Caenorhabditis elegans: one gene and its partner. The protein of the gene in region 2 purifies or fractionates together with the protein of the main gene of each other region. This does not show direct contact. Each region holds a gene or a part of one and is shown on either strand. Other genes may lie near its edges.

What was found. Proteins that work in one complex are often made in the same cells at the same time.
Region 1: the proteins of clec-265 (region 2) and gly-5 fractionate together in Caenorhabditis elegans (co-fractionation; one large-scale study listed by BioGRID). This does not show direct contact.

Annotation. Positions count from the first base shown.
Region 1 is NC_003281.10:13,185,692-13,190,391, reverse strand, and holds the start of gly-5 (Polypeptide N-acetylgalactosaminyltransferase 5), read right to left. Parts: upstream 3,001-4,700; 5' UTR 2,942-3,000; intron 2,283-2,941; 5' UTR 2,257-2,282; coding exon 2,149-2,256; intron 2,094-2,148; coding exon 1,830-2,093; intron 265-1,829; coding exon 146-264; intron 1-145. UniProt on the Caenorhabditis elegans protein: Catalyzes the initial reaction in O-linked oligosaccharide biosynthesis, the transfer of an N-acetyl-D-galactosamine residue to a serine or threonine residue on the protein receptor.
Region 2 is NC_003284.9:3,029,850-3,033,674, reverse strand, and holds clec-265 (C-type lectin domain-containing protein), read right to left. Parts: upstream 1,893-3,825; 5' UTR 1,880-1,892; coding exon 1,779-1,879; intron 1,731-1,778; coding exon 1,594-1,730; intron 1,550-1,593; coding exon 1,451-1,549; intron 1,396-1,450; coding exon 1,207-1,395; intron 1,153-1,206; coding exon 991-1,152; intron 938-990; coding exon 759-937; intron 710-758; coding exon 608-709; 3' UTR 558-607; downstream 1-557. Other genes in the region: M02F4.2 (Nucleotid_trans domain-containing protein), read left to right, coding at 126-205, 248-350.

The sequences.
Region 1 (4,700 bases), on a different chromosome or scaffold from region 2:
ATTTTTTTAAAAAGAAAATTTTTTGAAAAAATTCGATTTTTCTTCTTTTTTTCCGGAAAATCACAAAAAAACTTCAGTTTTTTAGGGAAATTTAAAAAAATTAATTTTTCGATTTTTATGAATTTTGGAATAAAAAAAAACCCACTCAGCATCAATATTAGTTGGCAAAGTTCGATGTACTGATATCATATCAGATGCGTATTGATTAAAAGCGTTGTTGAGCATTCCCTTGTCGTATTTTGCCTTTTCTTCGGTCGATAGTTTCTGAAAATTAGAAAGAAAATAAAGTTTTTTTTTTTCGTTGATTTTAAAGGCAAAACATCAAAATTTCGAAAAAAAAAGAACTAATTTCCACTAGAATCTTAGATTTTGGGGGCCGAAATCGGCCTAAAATGACCTAGAGTGGCTAAAAAATGATCGCGAATTGGATAAAAATGACTAAAAATTACCCAAAATCACCTAAAAATTACCTAATGTGACCAAAAAAAAAAATGAAAATTCGGCCAAAAATTACTAAAATTTCTAAATTTTGCTAAAAATACCTAAACGGACCAAAAATAATCAGCAGTCGGTTGAAAATGACTACAAATTACCGAAATTGGCCAGGAATGTCGAAAATATTTCATATTTAAAATAACTTGATATTTAAAATATTTTAGACATCATTTTTAATCATTTTTGGCCAATTTTCGAAAATTTCCGAGCACTGAAGTGATTAAAAATGTCTGAAAAATGACCAAATTTGGCCCAAAATAGGCGAAAAATGACCAAAAATGACATAAATATTTAAAATATTAAATATTTTAGAAATTTTTATTCATTTTTGTCCAATTTCAGTCATTTTTGGTGATTTTGGACCAAATTTGGTAATTTTTTAGTCTTTTTTTTAATGACTAAGCATAATCGAAAATCGGCCAAAAATGATTAAAAATGACCGAAAATATGTACCGTATTTCTTCTATTAATATGGCTGCAATAATATTTTTCGATGGTCTTCCGCTTGCAATACTAATAGGGAGTGCAAGACTATTAGGGAGTGCAATACTAATTTTCAGAACATTTTCTGACTTTGAGCTTACTAGTTTTTTTCCTGAAAAAACTCGAATCTTATGTGAAAATTCAGAAAATTTGATTGTAATTGCAACAAAAAGGTACAATAACTTCAATTTCATAGAAATTTTACCAAAATTGTTGCAAAGTAGGCAAAAAATGTTGTTAAAATCTCAAAATTAGTAGGGTGGGTTTGTACCAAAAAAAAAAAGTAGATGCAAGACTATTAGGGAGTGCAACACTAACTGCAATACTAATTTTCGGAGGGTTTTCAAGGAGCAATACTAATAGGGAGTGCAAGTCTAATAGGGAGGCCATATTAATAGAAGAAATACGGTATATTATATACATTTTAATCATTTTCGGCAAATTTCGGTCATTTTTAGTCATTATTGGCCAATTTTCGGCAATTTCCGAGCGCTGAAGTGACTAAAAATTTCTGAAAAATGACCAAATTTGACCAAAAATGATTAAAAATCGGCCAAAAATGACAGAAATTGACCAAAAATGACCAAAAATAACCAAATTTGGCCTAAAATTAACTAAAATTACTTAAAATGATGGAAAATCAGCCAAAAATCAGTAAAAAATGACCGAAATTGCCCTAAAATGATTAAAAATCTATACGGAATATTTTCATTTTTAAAATCATTTTTGGTAATTTTTGGCCAATTTAAGTCATTTTTGGCTCATTTTTTTCGCAATTTTGAGAATTTGAGCACATTTTGAGTCCACAAGTTCAAAGAACCGTTATTCCTCAAGAATAATCAAATTCTCACAGTTTTATCGACGACAACTGCCTTTCCAAGCTCTCCGGCTTGCGCTGCGTCTCCTTTTTTATAAATCGGATCGTTCGGATCGACCATAAATTTTGGTTTGGCCAAGTTCCCGCCGGGTTGCTCTTCTTCTTCCACTTTATTATTCTCTACGACAGGTTCCGGCTCAATCGGCGGCCCAAATCCTTGAATTACGTCTTGTTTCGCGGCTTTCGGGTGGAAATTCGCCTCCGCAATTTTATTCGCGAGATCGTTATTTGATCCGATCTGAAAATGGGATTTTAATCACATTTTTATTTTTTTTATTTTTGATTTTTGATACCTGGCTACTATCATTGCTGGTTGCTGCGAAAAAAATCAACGAGCAAATCCAAAAAACTGGAACCAAGAGGAGAACTTTTAATATCGCCTTTTTCTTGAATATAATCATTTCTCAGCGGCAAAATCGACCCGTATCTGCAAAAAAATTAATTTTTGATTAATTTAATTGGGAAATTTCTCAAAATATTTCGATTCAGCTCAGTAAAAACCAGTAAAAACTAAATTTTTCGACAAAAACTCCAAATAAGGACACATCGTCCACGTGTAGTACACGGGTGGTGACCTAGAAACCGACAACTACGTACTACACGTGGACAAAATCGGTGGAACATGTTTTTGGCAGGAATATGATGGAAAAACTATAATTTTCAGGAAAACTAATAAATAGCAACAAAAAAATCAATAGAAATTCGAAGAAAAATCAATATTTTCTAGTTTGACCTCAAAATGATCAAGTTTTCAATGTTAAAACAGATTTTTTTAGTTAGTTTTTTTCTTTTTTTTTCTTTAATATTGTTTAATATGACACTTTTCAGATTTTTGCGTCAGAAATACAGATCCAGGTCTCGACACGACAAATCCTTGTACTCATTGAAGGTGTGCGCCTTAAAATTAATTTTTCAGCTTTTTGAAATTTACTTTAGATATTTGATAATTTAATAGATTTTCATCGAAAAACTAAAAAATCAATAAAAATTCCGCAAATGAACAAGTTTGAAATTACAGTACTCTTTAAAGGCGCACACCTTTTTTCAAACATTTGTCGTGCCGAGACCCAGGGTACCGTAACCTACCGAAAATCCTCCGTTTTATGCTTCAATATCCCTCAATTTTGATAATATAAGTTTGCTGCCTGAAAAAAAACGAATTAAATTGTGAAAAGTAGTAGTAGTATTGGAAATTCGAGTAAAACAAGGAAATTTATAATGCAAACTTTTTCGGACCCAAGGCATACTGAATTCAAATTCACATTAAAAATTTTAGGTTGACGTGGACAATGACGATGAGCAGCAGCATGCAAGGCATGTTAACGATAATATTTGAACAGTTGGGAAGGGAAGGGAAGAGGGTGTATAAGAAGAGAGCATAGAACAGAACCACTATCTTTTTTAGCTTCTCTAATACCTCTTACTCTCTCTCTCTCACACTATATTTACTTTTTTCGGTGGTTTCGGTCAAGTTCAAATGTGCTCGAGAACTGTAATGTTTCAAGTTCGCAATGAGTCACGATTTCGATTTTCCGTGTATCCTAGAAATTTTGTGAGAGAAATAGTTTTAAATGACTCCCTGATTCCGAATATCTAAGTGAAAAAATTCTAAAAAATTTCCCTGATATTATATTTCAGCTTAAAATCGCGATGTGTCGATTTACGAGATTTTCAATATCTTCATTTTCGTCGCTTTTTTCCAAAGTTTCGTTTTTTAAGGTCAATTAAATATTATTTTGCCAAAAAACTAACAAAATTTCCATTTCTTAGGTCAAAACTCGACGAATTCCACGGAATTCTGGCTGTTTGCCGAACTAGGCCATTTTGGGTCGGAGAGATTTTGTGTAGATTTACGGCGCGTTGCGTGTCGCGTCGCGGCTCGTTTTAGTTGTAAAACTGAAGTTTGCTGTCCGTGAGGAGTACACGACACTTTTCCACGCGCTGTCCGGCAGGCGATTATCAATGGAGCGCGAAAATTCAATGAGAAATGCCCAGAACCCCGTGGACGAAAAATCCAAATATATGCTTTTCCCGCCTAAAAATCACAAATTTTGTTAGTTTTTTTAATGATATAACAAAAAAAGTGACCTTAAAAAAAGCACAGTTTTTTTTTTCACTTAAATATCGGAATCAGGGAGTCATTTTAAAATTGTTCTAAAAAGATTTCGATACTCCACATTATAAAATTTTTTACGTCAAAAACATCATTTCCCCCTTATCATCCATCTTACCATTCACACCCATTTTGCTCAAACAGACGCCCACGCCCTTTGCATACTTCTCAAATGGAAACTTCTATTGATAGTGAACCCAGAAGACAAAAGAGAAACGTGGTCATAACTGGGGGGAGTTGTTTGCTGGTTAGAAGAGCCCCGGACGTGCTCAATTGAGCATGACGAATAGGTTGGAGAAGAGAATGTCAGAGACACCTACTTGTAGTGAGAGGGGAACGAAAATGTCTATAGGCTAGGCTAAACTACAAATCATCTTATTTTTTCGATTAATGAAGAAAAAAAATATTTCGAAAAGGGCTTATGTTTGCAATTTTACTACAAAAATTCTGGAATTTCTAGGAAAAATGAGAACGCGAAAAAAAATTATTTGAAAAATTCATTTGGCGCGGTGAGACCCTTTCCAAAATTACTTTGTGCGAGCGCCTTTAAATTGATCTTAGAAAAATTGTTATTGTTTTCTTATAGTTACTAAGTAAGTAAGTAAGTTCTACTCGGTCACAAATTAGCTATAAAAATCTGTAAATTATAAGAAAATTTGAAAAAAAAACATTATACAGTAATCTTAAAGGTGCATACACAATTTTAATTCGAATTCCCGCCGAAATTTTTCT
Region 2 (3,825 bases):
CGTGCCGCACTATAAATTCGGATACAAGTGGGTGTAGGCCGTCGCGGGCGCTGTTGCAGCGACCTTATGGGAAGCCCTATTTTCAACACGCCGTGAGGACCAAATGGAAATCTGCATGTTTCTAGGCTATAACAATATTCAATGGTTCGCTTCCCGTATTCTCATTTGATTTCATTAAAGGATTGAACAATTGCGTTCGGCAAATGTAAGTTTGACTAAAAGTAAATTGAAAAGTAGTTTTTTTCAGGGAAACACAAATTATTTGTACAAGCACTGGTGGAATGTGTAGAGATCATATGGATAAAATGACCGAATGGATTTATGATAAAACTGAGAACGTTTTTGTATAATTCTATGACTTTTATTTCCGTTCTTGGTTCCGAACACATAAAAAACGACACGTTTTTATAACAATAAGTTTACACTTTGTGAAACATTTAACATGAAAAAATCCGGTTATCCAAACGGATAATTTATGTTGAAACCGTATTTTAGGGAAATTTTATGAAATGTTATACAAGATGAAGCACATTCAAGTATACAACATATTAGAAAACAGCAATACAAAATCTTCATCAGAATAAAGAAACAAATCAATAGAACACTTTTAATAGACATATCGTTTACATGCTGCATATCGACATGTTTGATAGGCACAGTTGCCCATTCTCATGTAGGTTGCATACCCCATCGGATTGTTCAAGATAATCTGAAAACAACAAACATTGAAAAAAATGCCGTTTCAAAAAAATTAGTACCTGTCCCTGGCTAGTATAGTCGGCCGGCTCAGCTGGAGCGAATCCCTGAGCATAGTCAAAAACAGTAGAGTCATCCCATTGGAAGTATCCACGGTCCGAGTTATAAGTTAGCCCAATAATAATGTTGTCTCTAGCTGTCGCGGTAGAAACCCAATATGAATTCGCTTGGACTCCAAGACCTGAAAATTCGAATATAAGTACATATATAATTGATTTTAGCGCAAAATCTTACGGTTAATGAAAGCAGCTTCTCCTGCATTATGAACAGAAGCCAGTGTTCCTCCCATGCTTCTACAAGTGTTCATAGCATTATAATAGGTAGTGTTGGAAATAATCTTGAAACAAGCACATGTTGGTGGATAGTACTCCCATCCGGATTGGCATGGAACAAAGTCTGAAATGAAGAGCCAATTAATAAATTTGGAAATCCTCCAGAAAAATAACTTACTCAAATACTTTTGAACACAGCTCGGAAATCCACTTGGTTTTACAGTTGTGGTGAGCACTGGTTTCGGGGTTGGTGGCACAAGGTCAAATTCGCACAGTACACTGTGAGAATCTGGGCATGGCTGAGCATACCAGTATCCGTTCATTCCAATTGTGATGCAATAACCAACGTTTACACTGAATGGTTCTCCTGAAACAAAATGACTGGTGAACAAAATGTTCAATTGAAAGCTTTTTGAACTTACCAACTGCAAAGTTTGTGTAGATTGGTGGTTTTCCGTCATCTCCAACAATATATGTTCCATCAGCTACATATTCGAGCCAAGTGTGCCAATTAGCATGTACTACAATAATTCAAATGTATGTAGATAAAACGTTTTAAACTTACATTGAACTTGTTCAGTGACAAAGTTATTCTCAGCATACGTGAGGGGTGTGGTGAGTCTGGCATATGGTCCGTATGTCTTCCGGCAGTAGGCAAGGGCATTATCCCGAGTCATATCCATGCCAAGAGCTGCGTAGCATCTAAACAAATGTATTAACAGTGCAATTCGAATAAGAACGGATTCTCACTTTGCGTTATAGATTTTTGTTCCAGTTGGGCAAGTTAAAGCATTTGTGCAGTAAAACACAGAAGCAATAAGAGAAATTACAAAAATTAAGTTTTGCGACATTTTCGAATCGAGCGATATCAATGCCTCCGATGACGATTTTTATACAACTGTTATCAGTGCACCATAATTGCATGATGATTTCAATTTCCGAATCGTCATTAGGGAGTTTGGTCTTTCTTGAAATACTTTATCGCGGTTTATGAAAATGTCACTGATTAATTAAAAATGATAACCTTTTGGAAATAATTTGGAAGCAGCATTTGTAGTCGTATTATCAAGAAGTTATATTTAAACGGAAATTATTTTGCGGTGGTGGTCAAAAGCATATTAGTGTTTGATTGTTTGCTGATATTTCATTGTTTTCAAATAAGTATACAAACATATAAATCGTTGCATAATTGTGCCCGCATCGACCAAAAAACTTAATTTTTATTCGATTGTCATCTTTAATTGCATATTTTGGCATTTTACTACGTGTTATTTTGTTAATTGAGATGCGTTTTTGGTACCATAATTGTGCCCGCATCAACCAAAAAACATTTCGATCAACAAAATAACACGTAATAAAATGCCAAAACATGCAAAGGATGACAATCAAATAAAAATTAAGTTCCAACCGCTGCGACACTGAAAAGTTATCAAAAATTTGAGATTTTAGCTAAAAAGGGCCATTTTTTTCCAAAACTTTGAGCGCCCATAATTTTTTTTTTTGAAAAATTTTCAGAACGTCTGGTTACGAAATTCGGTAGGTTTGCGTCATTTTGTGTCTAAAACGCAAAGTCTCAAATTTCGGTACTCCACCTCGGAATTATTTGCTTCCATCGGTCGAAACTTCTTTGGTTTTCCGATTGTGCTCATGTTCACGAGACATCAGTGGGAGCCAACACAGAGTCCTTTTTGTCCTTTTTCGCTTGTCTCCGGAAAATTGCGTTGCCATATCCATAGATTTACTCTTTCTTCCGTCGTTCCTCCAAAATCAGCTACGATTCTCGCCGCAAATCCCGTTGTTCTCCTTTAACGCTAGAATTCAAATCTATTGCTGCAACAAAGACGAATGACACAAAAATTCATTATCCAGGAACATTACCGCGAAATGGAAAACAACATTTCGAAATTCGGTACTGATTTAGATATTTACCTTGGATCCGACGGCTTATACCGAATCAGAAAAAGAGTTCACTCGTCAATGCTTCCAAGAGAATCATCACATGAGCCAATCGTCATCCATCACAAGTATGCTCTGGTAGAAATCATCATGAGAGAAACTCACGAGATCAACAGCCATCTATTTTGAAAGGTAATATATTTTTCCATTTACTAGAGACATTGCACAGTTGTAAAACATATCAAAGAGCGAGATGAGAAAATTAGTGGATGTAAAACATATTGGACTTGTTGCTTTGGAAATTAGGGAAAGAACACAAGGATAGACAATTGAAAAACAAATATTTAGATCAATGATGTTGATAACATTGATATTTCACGAAAGCATCGACCATTTTCAAACAAACTGCCTTCACACTTCATGACGTCAGAGCAAATCGAATGAGCTGTGTTCTGTAAGAATAAAATTTGAGAAAGTTGTAAAAAAATAATTTAAAATACTTCTCCGTGGAAAATTTTTCCAATCGCTTCTGTGACTAGGATCGTATTTTGAATGTTTTTGAAGCAGTGATCGCCATTCTTAGCGCAAAGGACATGAGGGAGAACCTTGTTGAATTCCTGGATAAACTTCGACAACTCCTGAAAATTCGTAATGTCAAATAAGGTAAAGTTTTCGAGCAAACGTTATCTTAAGAAAAAATGCTCACCTTTTCACTTAATTTGAACACGCGACTACACGAGGAACAGCTCCAGACTGAGGTTGGCAACCTTCTTCCATTCGTAGTCTTGAAATACTTCCATAAAAAAACATAAATACACAGTTATTTTTGTTTGATGTTTATTTGGCTCTAGCATCTTTTTTTAGTTTGGCCCAGAAATATTAACTTGGATTAGAAACTAGC